Linked DNA regions of Schizosaccharomyces pombe. The gene in region 3 interacts genetically with the main gene of each other region. Each region holds a gene or a part of one and is shown on either strand. Other genes may lie near its edges.

Evidence for each region.
Region 1: mutations in ftp105 (region 3) and bun107 together harm fitness more than expected from each alone (negative genetic interaction), as found in Schizosaccharomyces pombe (2 studies listed by BioGRID).
Region 2: mutations in ftp105 (region 3) and sgf29 together harm fitness more than expected from each alone (negative genetic interaction), as found in Schizosaccharomyces pombe (2 studies listed by BioGRID).
Region 4: mutations in ftp105 (region 3) and lsk1 together harm fitness more than expected from each alone (negative genetic interaction), as found in Schizosaccharomyces pombe (2 studies listed by BioGRID).

Annotation. Positions count from the first base shown.
Region 1 is NC_003424.3:412,666-419,004, forward strand, and holds bun107 (WD repeat-containing protein), read left to right. Parts: upstream 1-2,325; 5' UTR 2,326-2,740; coding exon 2,741-3,020; intron 3,021-3,097; coding exon 3,098-5,706; 3' UTR 5,707-5,809; downstream 5,810-6,339. Other genes in the region: rod1 (arrestin/PY protein 1), read left to right, coding at 1-1,209; SNARE protein Sft1, read right to left, coding at 1,806-1,964, 2,019-2,135; Ctf18 RFC-like complex subunit Dcc1, read right to left, coding at 5,810-6,055, 6,094-6,339. UniProt on the Schizosaccharomyces pombe protein: Required for the ubp9 recruitment to septa and cell tips but also for its enzymatic activity at these specific locations.
Region 2 is NC_003423.3:2,418,089-2,422,401, reverse strand, and holds sgf29 (SAGA complex subunit Sgf29), read left to right. Parts: upstream 1-2,356; 5' UTR 2,357-2,420; coding exon 2,421-2,869; exon of another isoform or gene 2,870-2,970; coding exon 2,971-3,256; 3' UTR 3,257-3,664; downstream 3,665-4,313. Other genes in the region: BAR adaptor protein Hob1, read left to right, coding at 144-1,475, 1,544-1,612; pvg3 (galactosylxylosylprotein 3-beta-galactosyltransferase Pvg1), read left to right, coding at 4,100-4,313. UniProt on the Schizosaccharomyces pombe protein: Chromatin reader component of the transcription coactivator SAGA complex. SAGA acts as a general cofactor required for essentially all RNA polymerase II transcription.
Region 3 is NC_003424.3:1,784,420-1,791,547, forward strand, and holds ftp105 (Ubp5 interacting protein Ftp10), read left to right. Parts: upstream 1-1,950; 5' UTR 1,951-2,018; coding exon 2,019-2,038; exon of another isoform or gene 2,039-2,080; coding exon 2,081-2,123; exon of another isoform or gene 2,124-2,185; coding exon 2,186-2,218; exon of another isoform or gene 2,219-2,286; coding exon 2,287-2,933; intron 2,934-3,031; coding exon 3,032-3,239; intron 3,240-3,295; coding exon 3,296-3,673; intron 3,674-3,772; coding exon 3,773-4,027; exon of another isoform or gene 4,028-4,079; coding exon 4,080-5,273; 3' UTR 5,274-5,936; downstream 5,937-7,128. Other genes in the region: gus1 (glutamate-tRNA ligase), read right to left, coding at 1-666; protein saf5, read left to right, coding at 6,206-6,859; mrpl1 (mitochondrial 54S ribosomal protein uL1m), read right to left, coding at 7,063-7,128. UniProt on the Schizosaccharomyces pombe protein: Required for the localization of ubp5 to the Golgi apparatus. Involved in detoxification of cadmium ion.
Region 4 is NC_003424.3:3,951,717-3,957,655, forward strand, and holds lsk1 (P-TEFb-associated cyclin-dependent protein kinase Lsk1), read left to right. Parts: upstream 1-2,079; 5' UTR 2,080-2,754; coding exon 2,755-3,702; intron 3,703-3,748; coding exon 3,749-3,839; intron 3,840-3,854; exon of another isoform or gene 3,855-3,905; coding exon 3,906-4,584; exon of another isoform or gene 4,585-4,635; coding exon 4,636-4,699; 3' UTR 4,700-5,153; downstream 5,154-5,939. Other genes in the region: SPOM_SPAC2F3.16 (ubiquitin-protein ligase E3), read left to right, coding at 5,427-5,726, 5,796-5,939. UniProt on the Schizosaccharomyces pombe protein: Catalytic subunit of the CTDK-I complex, which hyperphosphorylates the C-terminal heptapeptide repeat domain (CTD) of the largest RNA polymerase II subunit. Involved in RNA polymerase II transcriptional elongation and pre-mRNA 3'-end processing.

The DNA.
Region 1 (6,339 bases), 1.4 Mb from region 3:
TATGCAATTGGGTCATATATTCCCATTCATTTTGTATTAGTTCCGTTGCTGAAGAGGCTAACTATTGGAAAAATCAGTATAACCTTGAAAGAATACATCACGTTGCATGTCGCTCATGGATATAACGGTTTACCGGCATCGAAAGATGAAGTCAGGACCGTTCGTTCTCTTCAAACCGAAGAATTGGAGGAGTTTTCCGATCACTATGAACTTACAAAGAACTTGGAACTACCAAGTTCTCTTGTGGAATGTCTTCAGGATTGTGATTTGGATGGAATTAAAATACGTCACAAATTAAAGTTTTCCGTTTCCCTAAGAAATCCTGATGGCCATATATCAGAATTAAGAGCTGCATTACCTGTAGTCTTGATGATACCTCCTCAATTATTTGGCGATCGTGCCGAAGTAGAGTCGTTACGCGAGAATTTTGAAAGTTTTAATCAGCCTTTACCTAGCTATCAAAACAGCATGTATGATCGTCTTTACGATGGTTTGAGCTATTCCAACCTTGATACACCTCTCCCTAGTGGCGCAACTACACCAAGGCGACGCGATTCTATGGAGCCCACCTATGCTTCTAATGAAGCTCATAGGCGACAACTCATTGCTGGTTTGACAGAGTTGGCTCTACAACAACAACCGCAAGGAAGGAGCCCCAACGAACATTCACCGTCAAATCATCCTGAAGATTTCCCGCCTTCTTTCAGTTTAGGCTCTAATCCATCCAGTGGAGCTGCCTCTGCTGTAATTACTAGAAACCCTTCAGAAACTAGTTTGGCAGATCTGAGCAGAGTCCCTTCTTATAAGGAAGCAACAAGATCAGCCGTTCCATTAGAATCACCCTTACAATCAACATTACCTAGTTATGAAGATGTTGCACGAATTGAGCACCTTTCACGTCCTCCATCACCTGGTATCGTTACTCCACCACAACGTACATCTCCTTCATTTTTTGTTTCTCCAACTGAAAGTACACGACAATCCTTGGATAGTCGTAGGTCATTCGAACACTCCACATCTTCTTCTTCGGGTATAAGCCCATCTCACAGTAGTGCTTCTTTAGCTCATCTTTCTCAAGCCTCCAATCCAAATGGATCGTCTTCTGCCCCGCATAGGCCCACATCAGCTCGTGTAGGAAGTCACCGAAACGCACTAGACGCTTTAAGACGGGCGCGTATGCTTCCATCTGGATTTTCAAGAAGAAATTGAAGTTTTGAGCACTATTTTTAAATTTTTGCGCAAACATCGGAAAAAGAGTATTCATTACCTGTACTTCCGTACATTTGAATGCTGTGTTCTTAAAAAAGCCTAAATCAATACAAACATCTCATGGTCTGCATGCACAAAGCTTGAACGTGAAGCTAAGGTGTTAAAATTTTTATTATTATTTATTTTTGTGCCCTTCCTTTTGATCTTTTTTTTTTTTTTTTTGCCGGTTGAAGGTGAATGAATACTTAGTTTGTGGCACAATGTCATGATTCTATTCAATTAGTACTGCGTCTCTTTGCTTAAAACTCTTTCCTAAAAGTGAGGAATATCAAGCTTAATATGGATATACAGTCATAATTAAATTTTTTATTATTTTTACTTTTATGGTGGACTTATTGAAATTTCGAGGAAGGAGTAGTATTTCGTTAAGAATATTTCATGTAATTCTGCGCTTATATTTTCAAATTTATCTTCAGAATATTCATCGATAAATTTATTGCCTATAAGAATTCAAAGCTTGTACATTTTATAATTTTGAAGCAGGAGGTTATGTCATTATATCCGTTCCTTTATGTAGCATTCGCTTTCATGTCGTGTTAAAAAAACCATTTGGATGCATAGTAGATTATTAGTATACTCCCTACGATTGCCAGCACCATTGTCATGATTCTTCGTCGTCCGGCACTTCGAACCACACGGAAGAAATTTTCGGTGGATTTTTTAACAGAATTTGAAAGTCCTGAAAAGCTTTCAGTCTATAATAATACAGGTTAGGTAAAAACTCAAATTTTTTTTTTTAAATTACATACAGCCCGATCAATTCGAGTATAGTCATTGGCACGGGAATAAATATCGTAGGTTACGTTTTTCAAAGAAGAAACCTGCCCAGACAGAGTTTCCAAACGCCGCTCATTTTGATCATTCATTATAGAAATAACTTTTACAAAAATGAATGTACATACGTTAGCATCTTTCTATATCACTTGGAGTACTACCAAAATTTAACGACATTTAGGACGTGGTGATAAATCCTTTAACGAATCTCCTAACTTGATTCTATTTTCGTCGAGCTCAAACATAATGTTATCTACAATTCTTAGCATCAGCCGCCTAATTATTGCTTTATCAAATGCCAATATCGATCGGACTACTTATTAGTAGGTAAATGGTTTGGAAGTTCATCGTTTCCATCCATTTTTAATGAGCAGTAGGATCCGTTCTTTAACATCTGAGTTATTTGAGGAATTGCTATTCATCGCTAAGTCAAAACATATAATATATTTGTATAGGTACTCGCTACCAAAATATTTGGATCCATTACTGTTTCCTGTTTCCAAGTAAAAGGGTTTATTTATCCGCTGCGTTTTAGACTCAGGACACACTATCTTTCTGCAATACTTTTGAACCTGAATTCATTCAATAAATTGAATTCGACATCATATAATATAAATTTTTATTTTTTACGTTTGAATTGGATTTTTTGTTTATAATTGCATTGTTTTAAGAGATTAATAATTCATTTATTGTTCTCATGAGTGTTCGGAAACGGTACAAGGTTACTTATGTTCTTGATTCCTGTAACGATCAACTAGGGCACCGTTTGGATGCTAATTGTCTAGTGCTAGGTCGGTACTTTTCAGAACAAGGGTCAGCACCAGTTACTAGAGCACTTTACAGTGGTGGCCGAGATGGACAGCTTTTCGGTTGGGACATCGGGTATGATTATGGTAAAGCTTCCCAGCCCTTAGCCAAAATCCAGGCTCATTCTGCTTGGGTAAATGATATAGCTTTAACACATGATTCCGAAGGAGGTAAGCCTTTGAAAAATTTAATTATCTCTGGAGAATAGCGGTAGCCTTATAGAAATTGACGTTCTAACATTTATTAGTGATATCTTGTTCTTCTGATTCAACGGTGAAACTCTGGAAGCCACATGTCTTGAATGCTTCTTGTTTATCAACAATTGGCGAGCATACCGACTACGTAAAGCGCGTAAGCATTCCCAAATATTCCAAGAGTCCGTTAGTCGCTTCGGGTGGGTTGGATAAAAGGATAATTGTATGGGACTACAACGTAGGTCAAGAAGTTATGCGATTTGAACAGTTACCTGACTGTTCTCTTGTTGTTGGTCCAAGATCTGGTGTTTACTCGCTGGCAGCGAATAACAACATAATTGCTAACGGCGGACTACAAAAAGACATTCAGTTATGGGATTGTGTTTCCAAGAAAAGGATTACAGATTTAGTCGGTCATACTGACAATGTTCGAGATATTCTAATTAGTGATGATGGCAGAACAATTCTCACAGCCTCTTCAGACGCTACAATAAAGCTTTGGTCTCTAAGGGCGCAAAAATGTTTATTCTCTTTCATAGCTCATTCAGACAGTGTATGGGCATTATATTCTGAGCACCCAGATTTAAAAGTATTTTATGCTGGTGATCGCTCAGGCTTGATTACTCGTACTGATATAAGAAACCAGCCTAACAACCAAAGCTGTACTGCAATATGCAAGCAGGATGCTCCTGTCTCTGACATTGTTGCTCGTCAATCTTTCATATGGAGTACTAGTCGTGATGGCTCCATTCTTCGTTGGAAGGATGAGCCCCTCTTTAATCAGGACGTGGGAGCAGCATTATCTAAGCATACCTCATCTCATCTTTCTGTATCATCGGACTGTCCCTCGAGACATTCTTCTGACATACGAAATCATAGCTGTCCAACATTATATCACGACGATGCTGAGGATATATATTATGATTTGCATCATACTGAGAGCTATTCTAACATCAATTTAACCAAAACCCCTGATTATGTTATTCATGGTGGTATTGGTTTGTTAAAATATCGAATGTTGGGTGATCGAAGGCATGTCTTAACTGAAGACGCTGTCGGCAATAAATGTTTGTGGGATATACTTGCTTGTAAGCAAGCCGGGGAATTTGATAAGTCAGAAGATTTTGAAAAGATTGTTCAAAGTTTGGATACTGTTCAAGCAATACCTAGGTGGGCTTCTGTTAATTGCCTTTTGGGGATTCTTGCTGTTACTCTTGATGAAAATCACTACATGGATGCCGAAATTTATGCTGATGAATGTCCTCTTCTGAAGGTTGATTCCCCTTCTGATAAAAGAATAAACTTAGGGGTGTGGATTTTAAAAAATTTATTTCGTGAATTTATTGATGCCGAGCTTCATCGTGATTTAAAATTTAGACAAAATTTAGATGTTGTAAGGTCTGAAGCTAAGAAGCAGATAGAAGCCCAGAGAGAAGAAGCAAGAAAGGGAAATGTGAATATGCCATCAGCTTTGTCTCCATTGAGGATTCGATCTCGTCCATCACCTTTATCTCTTCCTCCAGAACCTTTACTTTCTCCTACTATAGATTATTCCGCTACCCCATTCCCCCTCGAGCCTCCCCCCGAAAGTCCTGGTCCGTCTCTTCAAATTCCATCAAACAACCCCGTTTACACAAATTTAACAGATACAGATTCTATGATGGGTGCGCCAGATTACTTTTCGATCCCCGCCAGGCAAAATCGTAACAGAAAGCCACATACTGAGGTAGTTGGATCCCCTACTGTTGTGAGAACGAAAGAGATAATTCCCCCCAAAGTAACTCGTGAAGGTTCATTTATGGGCAGACTTAAAAAACTTGGAAGATCAAAGTCATCCAAATCATTACAAACCGATTTTATGAAAGCTTCTGTAGAGAGAGCTGCGTCAAGCCGCGTTTTCAGTACCGGGACTTCGGTAACTTCTCCGCAAGCATTGTCTAAAACTAATAATACTGTTAATAATGCTGCAAATACAGAAAATAACACACTAGCTAAAGATAAGCAACAAACTTCAGAGGCATCATCACCTGGTACCCCGCGAGAGCTGAAAACGACTGGTGAGTTGATTGAAGATCTTCATGAACAATATGTACATTTTAAGGATAAAGACACCGTTCTTAGTTTAATGAAACCACCAAACGATGATACGTTTCCCATGTTAAATCTTTCGAGTCAGATTACTGTTATCATCAGCGAAGAATCTCCTGAAGCCGGTAATTCTCGTGACATATATCGTTCTACTCTTGAGAACATGGCTGACGATATTGACTTACTTGAAAATATTATGCCCTTTTGGCTTGGAAGATTACTGTTATTAAACGAATTTCCTTCTAAAACTGCCCCTACTGTTAATTTTACTCTTCAGCCTTTTCCTGGAAGTGGTTTACCGCTTATTGTAAATGAAAACACTCGTTTAAGTGCTAGTGCTATGCTTCGTGCTCAGAAAATTATGGATTATAGCTATAGCAAGCTTAGCCAACAAAGAAAGGATGTATCATCCCTTCAATTTAGATGCAAAGATGTCGTCGTTACCCCCAAAATGACATTGGCAACTGTTAAGGCTCGAATTTGGCGATCTGGAGACGACGTTGTCTTTCATTATGATGTTGCTCCTAGATCTGTTTCAGAAATTGTTGATAAAACCCAGAGTCTTAATATTTAAAACTTAAGTTTGATTAAAATTTTAATTGATTTCATAATCCTGTCGAAAATAATGTACAATAAAATCAAGTTTTCAACCTGTATAGTACCGGCCAAATAAGGTTTTACCATGTCCCTCTAGAATTAATGTAAACACCGTCCCTACTGGTTTGTTTTCGCCCATATTTCAATATAAGAGCTTCAACTCTTGATTTCGACAAGGCAAGATCTTTAACGAAACTCCAAAGTTCTTCATATAACCATTTCGACTTAAGTTGAAACAAAGATTGAAACCGCCTACTTGGTTCTCTCGGTAACTGATCTCCTGATAAATACTGAATCGTATTTGGGGTATCGTGAAAATAATAACCCTAAAGAGTTTTAGCATTAGCTGACTAAAATGCCCTACCTTTAATAAATTCAAAGAAGGAAGTCCTTTACAAGGATACGGAAGACGATTATCCCATAACTGAATGAACTCATCGGAGCTTATACTGTTGATGCCTTCTAACAAAAATCGCCCATACCAAAAAGTCGTCAACTCTAAATCGATATTGAATTTTTTAGGTAAGACATTGTCCTTAATGGGTGAAGAGATACTTTCAAGAACACAAATTACTGAATCCCAATCAAATTCGTCATCCATAGCTGGCTT
Region 2 (4,313 bases), on a different chromosome or scaffold from region 3:
ACGTTGCGTAGTATACTGTATTTGCGATTCGGCACAATTACAGGAAACGATCAGCATTGCTGCGAAGTATGCTACGTGAATACGGAGAAGGATGGTTAAGGGAATTTGAAAGGGTCAGACATACCAACTACCAGAATTACTTGATGAGCTGGAAAGGGTTTACAAAGGCACTTGCGCGTACGCCGCAGACTCTACGCAGCAAGTTTAATGTTGGAGAGATTACCAAAGATCCTATTTATGAGGATGCTGGAAGACGGTTTAAGTCTTTAGAAACGGAAGCGAAAAAGCTGGCTGAAGACGCCAAAAAGTATACTGATGCTATTAATGGGTTATTGAATCATCAAATTGGATTTGCCGATGCTTGTATTGAAATTTACAAGCCTATTAGTGGGCGTGCTTCGGATCCTGAATCGTATGAGCAAGAAGGCAATGCGGAAGGTATTGAGGCTGCCGAGGCTTACAAGGAAATTGTATACGATCTCCAAAAGAATTTGGCTTCTGAAATGGATGTTATCAACACTCGCATTGTCAATCCAACTGGTGAACTGCTCAAGATTGTTAAGGATGTAGATAAGCTTTTGTTGAAACGCGATCATAAGCAGCTGGATTATGATCGTCATCGTTCATCTTTCAAGAAACTTCAGGAAAAGAAGGATAAAAGCCTTAAAGATGAGAAGAAGCTTTATGAAGCTGAAACCGCCTTTGAACAATCTTCCCAAGAATATGAATATTATAATGAAATGCTGAAGGAGGAGTTACCTAAACTATTTGCATTGGCTCAGAGCTTCATTGCTCCCTTATTCCAAGGATTTTACTATATGCAATTAAATGTCTATTACGTTCTTTATGAAAAGATGAGTCACTGCGAAATTCAGTACTTTGATTTCAATACCGATATTTTGGAATCGTACGAAAGAAGACGCGGCGATGTTAAAGATCGCGCAGAGGCTTTGACGATTACTAAATTTAAGACCGCTAAACCGACGTATAAACGACCGGGTATGGGACCGGGTGGTAAAGATGCAACTGCTTCTTCTTCTTCTTCCTTTTCGTCAAAGCGTGAAGAAGCAGCAGCCGAACCCTCCTCTTCGACAGCTACGGATATTCCACCCCCATACTCAACGCCATCGGTTGCCGGAGCTTCCGATTATTCTACCCCAAGTGCAGGTTATCAAACTGTTCAGACGACCACTACTACAACTGAAGCAGCAGCTGCTCAATACCCTCAAGCGGCCTTTCCTCCCCCTCCAGTTATGCCTCAACCTGCTGCTGCGGCAGTGACCACACCTGTTGCTGCACCGGTAGCAGCAGCTGCAGCCGCAGTTCCCGTACCTCCACCAGCGCCTGCACCTGCTGCGGCTCCCGCCGCAGAGCATGTTGTTGCTTTATATGATTATGCTGCCCAAGCAGCCGGAGATTTATCTTTTCATGCTGGCGATCGTATCGAAGTTGTTTCACGTACTGATAATCAAAATGTAAGTACTTAAACTTAAATTTTCATTTTTTTCTTATTAAACAAGGACTTTACTAATATATATTTTAGGAATGGTGGATTGGCCGACTTAACGGTGCACAAGGTCAATTTCCTGGTAATTATGTTCAGCTTGAATAAAGCGTTTTTAAATTTACCTAGATGTGTCTTAAAATCTCGCTGCCTACTGAAGTCAATATAGAAGCTTGATTATAGGACTTGTTGTTACAGGTTACTGTTTGTGTGCGCGCTTCAACAAGTTTTACACTGCTATTCAATTTCTATCAATTTTGTCGTTCTAACTATGATGCTTAAATTTAGACATGTATTCCATACATCATCATCTCCAGTGATAATTTAACACTGTCTATGTTTGAATACTGGCTTTTTATCAACGTGTTTCCTTACTGACGTGTACTTCAAAGAGTAGCACATTTTTTGAAATGTTTTGAATAACGTAAACTTATATATATTAATTACGTTTAACTGTTTTTATTTTAATTTAACTAGTCTATCAACAAAGCTGTCCTTTCTTATATCTATACTTTAACAGTGCTAGCTAGGATTGAAGCAAAACATGATTCGAACTAGAGCTTTCATTGTGATATTGAATTTTTTGGGATTTGTAGTTTCAACAGTATAACAATCGGAATTGATGTATTCTAGCAGGAAATATACGACATACAGTATTTAGAGTCGTTGCTAAACGAGAATCGTTTAACGAACTTCGTTAACAGACAGTATTCCATGACTTAAGTGAATAGTTAACTACGTAACCTAATGCAGCAACGATACGGTAAATACAATATCGAGTGTTAATGAAATTTGTAATAAAGTAATTTGCATAGCTGATAGTATCATGCAAATCAATCTAGTAAGTGAGTTAGCACCTACCAAAGGAAATTGGATGATGAAAAGTGTTGTTTGAGAATATCAGTTACAGGATATTATGGTACGCCCCATAAATGCTGAAGAGGATGTGACATCCATGTGGGTTAAATTTCATGAAAGCCTAAATCCCATTCGGTCTAGTTTAATAAAACAAGAAGAATGTTATAAAACGGTTGATGGCGACGATAATCCAATTGAAGAAAGAATTAAAGCGTGTGACGCGGGAATTCAAACCTCTGAAGAACAGAAAAAAGAATTGGAGCATACAATGCAATCTCTTGAGATGATTATTAATGTACTCGAAAAAGCCAATGAAAAACCTGTAATTACAAATAGTCCTTTGACGAGAAGTCGTCGAAACCGAGGAACAAGCTTTACAGCAAATACAGTAACCTTTACACCTGGCATGTCTGTAGCTTTCAAGTTACCATACACGAGGCATAACGAGGGAGGTGATTGGATTCAATGTATCATTATTAAAGTGACTGGAGAAGGAGCAAAACAGAGGTGAGTTTTCAAAAGCAAATATTGTCAGTCGCGAGTTCAAATTTACTTCTAAGCTTATATGTTGATAATATTTTTTTACCAGTATATTAACAAAACCATAGATTTGAAGTGCAGGATCCAGAACCGGATGATGACGGTAATGCAGGTCAAATTTATAAAACTACAGCTAATCATCTTATACAAATTCCTGCAAAAGGAACTCCTTTACCCCCAATAAGCCCAAAAACAAATGTTTTAGCTCGATATCCTGAAACTACTACGTTTTATCGGGCAGAAGTCATTCGCACTCTGCCTGATGGATCATGTAAACTTCGATTTGAAGGAGAAGAGGAAGTTGGGAAAGAAACAGTGGTAGAGCGTCATTTGGTGTTAGAGTACAATGGTTAAAACTGGAACGTTTTACTCAGATTTTTTAGGAGGTATTAGTTAAAGGTTATTTTTATTCACTTCGATATTAGGTTCACAGCATTTAAAAAAATTGATGACATTATCTGTAATATGCATAACTCAGATTTAACATTTTTTTTATTCATTGTGATGTTGAGTTGTTCCTTATATTTTATATATTAATGGCGTTAACGCATGTTAATAACTTAAGCCAAGACAAGGGCTCATTCAAAGTACTTGCTTCTATCGTGTTGCACATCTAACATTGCTAATGTACGCCAAATCTGCTTGCTTCCTTGACATTTTGCAAGGAATCTAATTTTAAAAAATAGTAGTAACATGACAGTCTAGAAAAAATTTCAAACACCTATAGAGGAAACTGAATACTAAAACTAAGTTCATTTAACGAGTATCTCCTATTAAATTATTCATAAAAATAAACAAAATAGAAAAATTGTATATGTATGAATCCTTTGGTTAATGGACTCTGAGATAAAGAAATGTAGCAACCCGGTATATATAGTTAACGCATTTATAGTTACCAACGCTATGAGGGCATTAAGGGTTTGAGTAGCTGCTCTTCTGGTTACATTATGACTGCGTATTTATGGTGGACGTGAATATGGCACCAAGCACAGCTTTGTTTTCAGAACCAAACATTATACTCCTTTCAGAGTTATATTCTGTTTGCTGGCTCATATATTCAAGGAGTCTTTTGTTTAATTCTCAACGATCTTTAAGTTTGGTTTTATTTTATTCTTTTATTCAAAGGGACAATTAATATTCACGTCTCTCTAATTGACCTCCTGGCGCAACGTGCTCGTTTAATTAAACTCTTTCACTATGTTTTCAAATTCTAAAAAAAAAATTTTTCTTTACGTGCTAATTGCCGGTGTTGCTACTTTTTCCTTTGCTTTTCTTGTACTAAATCGTCTACAGGCCGAAGAACATTCACTCGCCTACGTAGAGAATTTGTTTTTAGATCCCTTCATTAAGCAAAATGAATCGCTTGCCCATGCGAACGACAGACCTTTCAAACTGTATTTGGGGATTTTTA
Region 3 (7,128 bases):
TCCAATGTGCAAATATCCACTAGGTTCGGGAGGAAATCTGGTGACCACCTTACCATCAATGGCATCAGGAAGACCGATCTCGTAGTTAGGACCAGAAGATTTTTGTTTTTTGCTAATATTAACTGCCTTGGTGAATTCTTCCATGGTGACACTCACGGCATTTTGAGAATCCATAAACTTGTACCAACGAGCAAGGTTGAAATACTGGCCAGTGCGTACGGCACCAGCTGCCATGTTGTTTGATTTTAAGGCACCCCAAATAGAAAAATCAGCAGAGGTGAGGGAATAACCCACAAAAAGAGAGCGCATAATTAAATGGTCGTCTAACTGAGCAAGAAGTGAAGAAAGCTCAAGAAAGTTGTGGTTACCAGCTAAGGCAGAGGCAGTTTCCACCCAACTCTCAACCAAAGAACGATCGTTTTCGCCAATGAAAAGTTTAGGATAGACTTGAGAGAAAGTCTGTAAAGCCAACTTGGAACCGAATACAGGAGAATCAGAGCCGTTAAGCTGAATGGAGACGTTCGATTCCTTGTTTTGTTTGTCTAATAAAGCAACGTCCTCATACTTGACGGAAATGCTTCCTGCACCAGACAGATTCACATAATTTGCACATGCAACTGCACCATAAGCAATGGGCTTTGCTTTTAATGCAACACTAACTGACATTTTCCCAAAACCGGTGGTGAAAATTGTCGAACTTGGTTCGTGGTAAGTTGGTGTCGAAGTGATTTTTAGGGTATTAGTGTATGGTAAAGGTATGTTTGCAAAACACTAAAAATCCAAACCAGAAAAATTCGAACGCAGTACGAAGTTGACCGAAAAAAAAGGATTCTATTTAAGTACAAATTAGATTATAGATAAGGAATTCAAGTTCATGTCTGACCTTGATTAATTTTCTTTCCAGCATTTTTCGCTAATCTGCTAATTTTATACAGATATGAACCGAAACCGAGGGTTTCTCGTTATACTGTTTACCATTTTCTAACGTAAATCGGTATACCGATAAGAAAAGAGAATAGATACATAATAACAGAGTGGAGTTGAAACAATCAGAAGAATGGAAGAAAAGTCATTTTTTTGTTAATAATTACCTGTTAATCAGCTATAGGATTAAAGGAAAAAGTAGGAAAAATCATCTACCAAGTTAATTAATAAGATCTTTATCATCTCATTTATTTAGTTATCTTGCTATTGACAATTTTGACGATATCAAATACATATATGACATTTCAAGTACATTGAGAGTAGAAAAAGAGCACCTTTTATAATTGAAATTATTATAAATTGGAAAAAAATCTCACTTCAAAATAGATAGCTGCTTTGTTTATTTTACAGAAATAGCTAAAATTTGAATACAGCCATTTATAATGTACTTCATTGTATATAATATAAGGAACTCTAACATATCACGGCATAGTCTAGCGATTCATCTACTGAACATGTAAATATATCATTGTTTGCTTCGACAGATGTCTCATGTGGTTTTGCCGCGTGAGTTATACAGTAGATGAATTGTTTACAGCTATACAGTTTCCTTGTTTTTTTTATAACTGAGAAACCTTTGAGGTTTATCTGATGGCACGGTAATTATGAGATAACGAGTAGAAACCAAAAACTCACAAACATTTAAATGCAGTTCAGCAGGTAGCTGAAGTCTCTTTGACAAGCTGTATTTCTTCCTTAATTCTCATTTCGTGATGGTAATCAATTGTTTTCCTTACCCTGCCTCCTAACAAATTGCAGTTTGCTAAAAAGTGTTTACCAAATAGTGAGTCATAGTGCATTGACTGTAAATGTGAAAATTCGTCGTAATGCTAACGATCATTAAATGTACGGTAGAGCTAACAAATTAACTCGAGCAATAATAAAATTTCGCAATATGAAATAATGCATCTTTTGGAAACTTAGCGCGCGAATAAAGTATACACATGGACGGGTCTACTAGTACCTAACGATTATCGATGAAGCTGCAGCGTTTGTCAAGAGCACTTTACGGTTTTCGCATCTAATTAGAGAATATGGGAGGCCAAGAGTCAAAGTAAGTAACATTGCGAAATTTTCGTATGAGCTAACTGTTTAGATTGGCATTTCAGCGAGGAATTGCAAGATTAGCTTCTCAACCGGTACGGTTTGTGTTTATGGGTGGATGATACGCTAAGAGAACATTGCAAGCTAATTCTAGTAGGATATACCGTTGGATGATGAAGTTTGGGTTTCTGTATGAAATTTTTTTTATTAACTTGTGTAAGACGCTTTTACTAATGTATTCGTTTTTATGTTTATTAGCTTTGGAGTGTACCTGAAAGTTGTCCAGAAGTTTACGATTTTTTTCCCCCAGGTCTCATTCGTGAGATGAGGGATCATGCCTTTGTAAACCTTGAAAAATTGCTGCTTGTATTGACATCTCGTTTGTTTGCGTTGAAAAATGACAAAAAGTTTCCAAATCCTGAAACGGCACCAGCGAGTGAAGCGTTAAACTGCATTCGCCTACTTACTAGAATCATTCCTTTTTTGAATGAGAAACTCGATTTAGAAGAATGGCATCAAAAGTTTTGGTGGAGCCTTAGAAAGAAGAGAAATTTACCAAAGGAAAATTCCGAATTAGACCTTAGTAATTTTCAAGACGATCTAGATTTTGAAAATTCCATCTCCCAAAAGAACGAATTCTCGCAGAAGTCTCCTTCAGTCCCATTATCTCCTGTGAGCACCTTTCCTGCTTCTTCCATCTCCCTTGATGCTTCTTCAGACGTCTCTGCCGCTGACGTATCAGTAGGTGGTTCTAGCACAATCAAAGAAATTGGCTCTATTGAAGAAACTTTTACTCATGAAAAAACTTTAATGGAGGAATTGCTGGACACCGTCTTTCGTTTGCTTTTTTGCAGAGGCTTTACGCTTCCTCTTTCAAGTCCTGAGCAATATGCATACATTATATGGTAAGTATATATGTATATATATATATATTTTTTTTTTGTTTTTCGTTTGCTTTTTTATATTTGGTTAAATGCAATGTGTTAACTAATCACTTTTGCAGGGAAAATGGAATTGGTACAACAGAAACCCAAGAGAAAACCACAAAGGAACTTGCGTTTAATCGCATTGAGGTTCTTCGTTTGCTGTTAGTATTGATTTCTAAAAGGCTGTATCGATCTTCTGAAGTAGCTTCTCACACCCTTACTTATTTGACCTGTGTAGCAAATAAGCAGCTTATACTAGTTTTTCTTTATTCCCTTATAAATACTGTAAGTTTTGGCTTAAAATTTACCTTTTTTTGTTGTACAACTAACTTAGTTTTTAGACTTTGCGACTTAGACCTGATAGCTGGAAGGCTTCGTATTCAACTCTAGTACCTTATAATGATTCTAGCATTGCACTCTCAAAACTTACTTCTCAAATCCTTTTGCTTTTTTTAGATCACACCCCTCATGAAACAACAGTCGAATACTTCAGACAGAGACTCAATCTTTCTCCTGGCGCTGCTATCGAAAATCAGTATAGATTATATTTTTCTCGACTTCAATTACAAGCTGATTATGAATTTTTAGTTAACGAACTATATCGGCTATTGAATGCACCAGTTTCCGCTATCTCTGCCTATATTTCAATTGTACAAAAGCCTAATATCGCGTTTCCGGAAATTATTTTGTTTCTTTGGCAAGCAATTTTATATAATAAAGTATGTTCAACGGTCCTTTTATATATATTACATTATTTGTACAGTTGTTTAATTTATGTTGTTACGCGTTCATTATATTTGCTAACTAATTTAAAACAGCGTTTCCGAGCATTTTTGATCACTTCTCCTTATGCTACGGAGTTTTTAACTTCTATTCAGTTTTATGCACTTAGATATCGTGAAGACAATGAACATTCCGGCCTTGTTCGCATTTGCCTTTTTATCGTTCATTATTTATCATGCGAGAAGGTTCTTTGTGAAAAACTAAATAGAAACTGTATGAATGCACAATCATTGATGTCTTCCCTTGGGTTCTCAGTCCCACCAATGTCTTATGCAGAGTTTTTGATTATCGTAAGATTCACGATTAATTGTTTATTTTAATTTTATTACTTACGCCTTCCAGTCTAGCTTTCATATTTCAGCAGTGAAGAGATCTCCGTTTAGCAGTTTATCTCCTGTTATATTGTTGACCATATGCAATATTGCACCATTTGTTGAAAACCTAAGTTTCGTTACGTGTGCCAAATTAATGCAACTCTGTTCATCTCTTTCATCTCCTCGGTTTCTTTTTCGTAATCCGCGCAATCATCTGCTTCTTGAATACCTGTTACAGGCTATTTCTAGTATAGTTGAAAACAAGTTTTCTCAAAACCCTAATCTCAGTTATTCTATTATTCGCCTCCAGCAAGTTTTTTTGAATCTTAATTCTATGAAACTTCCTGCCGTTGCTCAGACTAAATCACAGCCTTTAGTGGCCCTCAATTCGGAAGGAAGTAGTGATTTTGAATCTAAATCATCCGATAACACCTCCTTAGATGGAACACCACTCCAAAATACTGACTTTAAAAAAGTTGCTACCGTTGAAGATGATTCACCTTTCGATGAATTAGATAAATTTTCCTCCCCTTTTAGTAGCAGTAGTTCACGCGGTGGCTTATCACATATTTCGAGTAGAAATGTTTCGATTTCTGTCCCGACAGTCCTTCAAGATGTATTCTCAGATTCTCCATTGGTTCTGTCTAGAAAGTTGCGTGGGAAAATACCGGAAAATGTTTCTAGTTCAGAACTTATTAAAAAATGTGCATCCAATCCGTTTGGAAAAGATTTAGAAATTGACTCAAATTTGTTTGCACCTTCCAACTCGTGGTTTAATTCTTGGCATTCAAGACTTGAATTGGATTCTATTCTAGCCATTATATCTCAGTTTTCTCTACCTGTATACAAGAAAATGAATGAAGAATTATCAACTACTGACGAAGCTGTTAAACTATTAGCTAACTCTGTGCTAAATGATGTACATCCTCGAGTTCCCAATTTTCGCTACTTTATTTGGAGTGTCCCTATGAATAATTGGTTTCAAAGTCTTGTTTGGCTTTATACTTTGTCATTTGATGAAAAAGGTTTAATGGCTACTCCCTCTTTATTTACAACCTCTAAAGTGTACAAACAACATGGAAATATCATGAAAGTTGCATCTCCTGAAAACAGTTCTAACTCAATGGAGAATGCCACAAAATCTATACTTGACAAACTCGATTTGCTGTATTTACAGCTGCCAAGTAGTGTCAACCACGATTCCAGTTTACGCAACAAGTGATTCTTAAATTCAATGCGTAAATTAAAGTATACTTTTGTCCTAAAAAATATTTGAAGAAAACCCTGCATGCATGTTATGGTATCTTACTTTGAAAATTTATTGATTAAATTGTTCACTAAAAAATTATCTTGGAGGATTTGCATCCACATACTGCCATCATTTAATTATATACTGATGACCAGAATCTTGCCTTGCTAATTTTGATTTTTGAACTTTTCGATTTGTTTTCATTCTATTAATTAACTAAAAACTGGCTTGGAGAATCTTCTGCTCCAACCTTGTCACTAGCTTTAAAAAAGTCTTTCGAAGTTTGATTTGGAAAGTTGGTGTTTGAAAGTCAATCTCGTATACTTTAGAAAGACCCACCTTTATGAGAGAAACGATCCACTGATGCTAATTCATTACATGTATCCAAATCAATGTATAACCTTATATAGCAATGAATTGGTTGCTAAAAAATTCTTAGCTTTATTTCGCTACACTTATAAATCTGTTTACTATATAAAATAAAAAATCCAATTTCAAAAGTTTTGAGTCCCAATTTTTTGGGTAACGAGGATTACTTCATAAAGACCTTAGACCTTTCCTTTATTTTTTCCACAAAACTATTTATATTCATGAGTTTGTTTTGTAATTGCAATGAATAACTAGCTTGTCATTTACGAAAATTGCATATCAAAAGTATTTGAGTAAAATCGATATCCTGTTTGGCATAATGGTTCAATTTATAAAAAATTCGTGTGGTTAAGAGTAGAAATATATTTTCGATTTTGCGAAATGCTTAATATGCGAAGATATTGTATTTGAGTACTTCAAAAGAATACAACGCACAGTAAACCTTTTCTTTCAATAAATTATCAGGTAGAGGTGGCCTTATTACTGTTTTTTAATAATTTTTATGCTTAAATACCTATTGGAAGCAAGAAGTAATTATGATTACCAAAATTGACTCACTTCCAAAGGACCTAATTCGCAAAGTTGAAAATGGTGAAAAGTTGTTGCCAAATCAAGAAATCGTTTATTTTGAAGAAAAAACAGTCCCCTATAAAATTAGAAGTGATGAGGAAAGTTTTCCTTTGGGCAAATTGATAACTTTATTAGTAACTTCACAGAGCTTTATCCTTTTTGATGAAGAACAGAATTCTGGCTGGAAAATTCCATATGAAACCATTACTCTTCATGCGAAACAAAGCAAGGATAAGCCATATGTATATGTTCAATTAGAGGGTGAAGCCATTCGACCCTTGCTAGATCACATTCTTAAATTTGAACGGTCGTCAGGAACATTGCATGAAGCTCCTTCTACCGAAGATGAAAATGAATTCACAGATGATTTTTTAGAACTAACATTATATGTTACTGATGTTGATTCATGTTACCAGGCTCTTTGTACTTGCCAATCTCTACATCCGGACACTTTTTCCTCAGATAATGATGTTGAAAACGCGAGTATGGGAAACCCTATGTCCTTATTTTTTGATCCAAATCACCAGTGGGTTACGGCTGAAAACGTAGATACCTCAGCTTGTGATAACAGATTTGATTCTCCGGAATCGCCTGTTCTGAAATGGCATCGCACAGAGTAACTTTCATAATGTTGTATTCTAACGTTTCATTCATACTTTTTAAAAAGTAGTTTATGATAATAAATAAATATAAACAGGCTTCTAAATTTACTAGATAAAATATCATTACACATTTCACTAATTTGTACAAAATTAATCATGTAATACATATTACAAATGACAAGACTGTAGACTAAATTTCCCATGCAATAACATTTTAATCATTATTTATACTGGAGAGGAATTGCAATAGCATGTGAGGCGGAAAGATGAACATGCTTTACGGTAAC
Region 4 (5,939 bases), 2.2 Mb from region 3:
TATCTTTGCGAAATACCACGAGTTCTAACTATATCTACTTTAAATGGATTAAGGCTCCACAGTGCGATTCAATATAACATTAATTAAAATGCACTTGGCCTGTTCATTGATGGCCAAAAAATTAAATATAATTTGGTGAATTTAACTCCTATATAAAAGTTTTGTTTTTTCAAGCCTAAGGATATCGTTGAAGCTATTGCTGTGGATTACCGATGTTAGACTAAATAATAGTTGACACCAATTCGATTTATTAACAGTTTATAAACTTTCTCCCTACATAGTCTTCTTTCTTCGATAATTACTTTAACACATATAAAATGGAATTGTAAATATACTAAACGAAACGATAAGACATAGCCAAACTATGAAGGAATTATGCATATAGCATTTGAATAAATTAAATACTGAAAGCTAAAAGAGCTGCTATAGAGTACAAACTCAGATTCTTATATCGCACCTGTGATGAATAAATGTTTGAAGAAGCGATTTTTATTAACGAAAATATAACATAATAAAAGAGCTTATTTTTTTTGCTTTGCTTTAAGATATTAGAAGTACTCTACTTTTACCCCATATTAAATGTTGAATAAGAAGATATGGTTTTCGCATTTGAAAGCACAACGTCCATGTCTTTTCGATTAAGATTCATTAAGTATTATTGGTGAATATAATTGAGTGCAAGGGACTCTCTCGCTGAATTTACCATATGCAAATATATCATAAATCCACAGAAACCAGTATAGGATGTCCGTTGAATAAGGAAAATTTTATTTAAGTCTAACTCTGATAATACGTTTTGTATGTCAGTCAATTGAATATAAGTGCAAATTTTTATTTTTTTAATGACCTATTTATTGTAATAAAATCACGTTTCTTTGTTAAAATTGCACAAATTGAGTAAGCTATATAAATATTTAGAATTGAATATATACATATGAAAGCAAACATTTGGTCGTAGGATCCTTGTACACTTGAATTTCTATGATATTTTATTATTTCATATTAATTATGCTTACGTTTTGGAATTTTTATAAAAAATTATATCGTACTGGTAGTAGCCGTTTGTACGATCATCTACCTTTTTATTTTTTAATTTCATTAAACAAATTTAATTTATTTGTTTGCATTTTTGAAAAAAAAAACTTATAAAAAATCAATTATGCTCATTTAGCTTTTTGCAATGATTTTTTTTTTTTTTAAACATTTAGTTTAACTAATGAGACTATTATTTAAACAATATTGCACCAAATTTATGTCAAAATCATCACTCTTAAAATTGAATAAACAACAGGAACAGAATTCCATGAGTTATTCATCTTGAAGCTCTTGACCTAACCTTGTTCTTTCTAAAACCAAGCATTTTTGTTTAATTTTTAAAAAAATATTATTGATTAATTTAGCTTTGCAAACAATTTGCACACAATAGATTTTGAGAGGCTGAATATGAATTTTTAATGTTTTGAAGACTGGCGTTCTACTAGAACGTCCAATGTGATAACGTTATACTTATGAAAGGATGTAAAACTTCTATATACAGTAAAATAATATATTCCCTCCTACCTTACATGTAAGGGTTGCATATTATTGATTATTTTACTTTGTATTCTTTAGACTCACGGAAAACACTAATTTATGGTAGAATATTAATTTCTCATAAATAATATTATTTTAAACGATTCAAAACTAATAGAAAAGCTCAGACTTGCCTTTATCTAGTCGACATTTGATTCCTTTGGTTTACTATCGCCAATGGCAATTTCCAAGGATCCATGCGGATTACCAGATTTATCTTCATCGCTTTTTAAAATGTTAAATATGAACTTAATATAATTCAGATGAAAAGGTTTAATCCAATAATATTATATGAATTGAGAATAACTGGTTGGACTTAGTTAATAGTTAAAAGACCATCTTAGCAAATGGGGAAGAGAAAATGGCTAAGAGTTAAGCATTGAATAAATACATTATTTACTTTGATTTCTATAAAACAAGCTGATATTCATCATAGCCTCAAATTACTTATTATTTTAAGTATGGTGTGGTAAAGGAATTGAGTCGCGCGCGTTTATTTCTATTTCTACTACACACCAACAACGAAGTTTACCTATCGCCCCTTGATTAAACTAGTGGACTTGCAAACTACTTCATTCATTGTCATAGAAGAGGAAGAACTAATTTATTTCTGTCTTTATTAAATTTCGAGATAATTGGTGTTTTTAACAATGTACATTTTGAATTGATAGATCAAAGAAATCAGGAGTGCAACTAAAAGAAAATTACGGTATATTTTTTTAAGCTGCAAGAGTTGATACTTAAAAGTATTTCCTAATTTTGTGGATACTCATATTTTGTACATTTACGTTTCAATAACATTTCTGCAACCGACTTATTCACAAATCTCTGGTTAGATTTCTCTATTGATTGAAAAGGTTTGTCTCACGTTCACCCTTCATAGTTTAGCGGTGAAAAAAATCTCCACTCTGAAAATTGTCCTTTCTTCATTTATTAGATTGCATGATTTATTTCACTGGATTTAACTAGCTTGTCTTGGCAGCTTACCTTTTATTTCCCTTGTACGATTTTTTTCCGGTGAAGTTGTATTTATTGTTACATAAAAACACATTTGGCCGTACTTTAACGATTAATTTCTTTTCTTTTATTCCCATCGAATTTTCGCTCACAGATTGCGTGTAATTCTCTTCATTGTTTAGGAATATTCCTTTTTTTATTTTTTATTTTTTTTAACCCTGTTAAATGTCATACTCGAAGAGTACAATTTATCGCCGACAAGGCACAGAACCAAATAGCCACTTTCGGCGTACCGTCGAAGAAAAGTCTCAGCTTTCTGGTACAAATGAGGAGTCTTTAGGAGGCCACACCCTGTCCTCTAATGCTTTCAAAAATAATTCATCTAGTATATCGCCATCCTCATCTGCGAAGGATCCTCGAGAACAGCGGAAAAGAACATTTCCTCTCAACGATACACATTCTTCCCGAGCAAGACAGCATGAAAGACCTTTTCGTTCTCGAAAATCTAGAAGGAGAAAGGGTAAAAAGGCATTCAGTCCTAGACCTGGCTCACCTCCATCACCTTCCTTTTACCGCTCAGGTAGTCAAAAACGAGCACGTAATTTAACTACCAAGGATTACTTTGCCAAACGCTCTGAAAGCTCTTCTAGCGCCTCCGTCTCACCTATATCACCGTCCGCAAACAGAAATGATTCAAAAAGGCAAGCTTCTTCTTTTCGAAGGTCTCCGCCTAGTTCTGTACATATGAAGCCTTCAGCTTTTAACGGTCGAAAGGTATCGCGGAGACCTTCATCTTCTCCTCCCCCTATTCCTTCTATCCCTCATGAAACTACTTCCTCCGATACACAAAAAAAATCTAGCGTGTCTTCTGGCTTTCCAGAGAACAAACATGGAAAATTTCACTTTCATATACCTAATGAACGCCGATCTCGATTCGATCAACCTCCTTCGAAACGTATGGCACTCACGTCCACGGCCCGTGAGTCTGTTCCAGCTCCTCTTCCTTCTCCTCCTTCCGGCCCAATTTATACATATACATATCCAAAGCCTGCCTATGAGAAAATCGACCAAATTGGAGAAGGAACTTATGGTAAAGTATACAAAGCCATTAACACAGTCACAGGAGATTTGGTAGCTTTAAAACGGATAAGGCTGGAGCAGGAAAAGGATGGTGTAAGTATAAAAATCAAGCTCGTAACTAAATTGACTAACTTTCTAGTTCCCTATAACTACTGTCCGTGAAGTCAAAATCTTGCAGCGTTTGCGTCACAAAAATATTGTTCGGCTATTAGAAATTATGGTGGAAAAAAGTACGATTAAATACTGTCCTCATTCACCGTTTAATTATAACTAGTTCTAACATTTTAAAATTCTAGGTTCTGTATATATGGTATTTGAGTACATGGATCACGATTTAACTGGAGTCTTACTAAATTCACAATTACATTTTACTCCCGGTAACATAAAACACCTTTCGAAGCAAATTTTTGAAGCATTAGCTTATCTTCATCATCGTGGGGTGCTTCATCGTGACATTAAAGGTTCTAATATATTACTGAATAACAATGGTGATCTAAAATTCGCAGATTTTGGTCTGGCGAGATTTAATACATCTTCGAAGTCGGCTAACTACACTAATCGCGTTATTACCCTTTGGTTTCGACCTCCAGAGCTATTACTTGGAGAAACTGCATATGACACAGCCGTGGACATATGGAGTGCTGGCTGTATTGTTATGGAGTTGTTTACAGGAAAACCTTTTTTTCAAGGGCGAGACGAAATCAGTCAGTTAGAGGTTATCTATGATATGATGGGTACCCCTGATGTTCATTCTTGGCCTGAGGTGAAAAATCTTCCTTGGTATGAGCTTCTGAAGCCAGTAGAGGAAAAGAAGTCGCGTTTTGTTGAAACTTTTAAGGAGATTTTAAGTCCTGCCGCCATTGACCTATGCCAAAAACTCCTTGCCCTAAATCCCTTTTGTAGACCGTCAGCTCATGAGACCTTGATGCATGAGTATTTCACTTCTGAGAGCCCACCTCCAGAGCCAGCAGTCATGTAAGTATAAAATTTATCGTTGAATGATATTTATCTAACTTATGTGTTTAGTTTGAAAAACATGCAAGGAAGTTGGCATGAATGGGAAAGTAAAAAACGAAAATCTAAAAGATAAATGAGCCAGAAAATTTTGTCAAGGCGAAGCTATGCAAGCTGGACAAATGTTTAAAAAAAATAATCTTTATATTTCATTTAATTTCTTTGTCTCGCTTTACTGCGGTCTATCTTCTATATATTTTGTTAACACTAGGCAGAGTAACAAATTTGTCTGATGCTGGACAACTTTTTTTCATTTTTTGCTCTCTTTTTCTTCCGAAAAAGATGAAATAAGAACACTAATAGCTCATGATAATTAAATGTTCCACTGGTTTATTTGACTATTATAACTCTTTCACCTTTTAAGAACTTAGAAATCAAAGGCTTGAAGTCTTGAAATGAGCTTGGTACTGTGTACAAAAAAGATAAATTCAAAGGACTCGTATGAATTTATGATGTGGTTTTCTTTTAATCAGTCAACCGTAGTAATAATAATTTGTTTACATATACTTTTTAATAATGTTAAGGTGCAGATGTTCTCAAGAGCCTGCTCAAATATTTAGTAATGATGATTTAACAATTAAGAGAGCAAAAATTAAGTTACTATTTGAATGCGTAGCTTAAAATTGATCAAAGTATATCTACGGCTTTTACAATAGTGTGATGGCACGGATATCACATTCCGCATTGCACTGGACCACACTATAAGTCAACACTGAACTGATCGAGGAATAGGTAAGCATTCCCCTTCTCCTTTTGATCAAGAACCATCATTATAACAAAAAAAACAAACACAAAAAAAGTCGATGTCATTGTCGGAGTATCTTCGTGAATTCGCTGAGATTTTTGAGGAAGCTGCACAAGAATTAACCTCAATATTCGAACTACCTCCTGACCTGTTGAAAGATATTACTGAAGAGGATGTTGGGACTGATGACTCTTGTAATAAGAAATTCCTTGAAGTTCAAAAGCAAAAAGAAGATGAAGAAGATGAAGAAATATTGAAAGGAGTGGATTTAACGCAGCAAGATTCCGTACGTGAAAAAATCCACGAAATACAATCGATGTCGCAATTGAGTGAGAAGAGAAAGGCCTTACTTATGCAGGTAAGTACATGAAATTAATCATAAAAGTGAGATTTAAATGAAAATAAGATTACTAAACTGGCTTTGTAGAAAATGCTGATGTCTGGTTATTTAAAATATCGACGAACTCACAAGAAAGAATCTGATGAGAACCAATTGAGCTCATCTGATCTTGAAAAGACTTATTATGACAAAGAGCAAGAAATTTTAGGGTGTTCTCATTACATGCGCAAT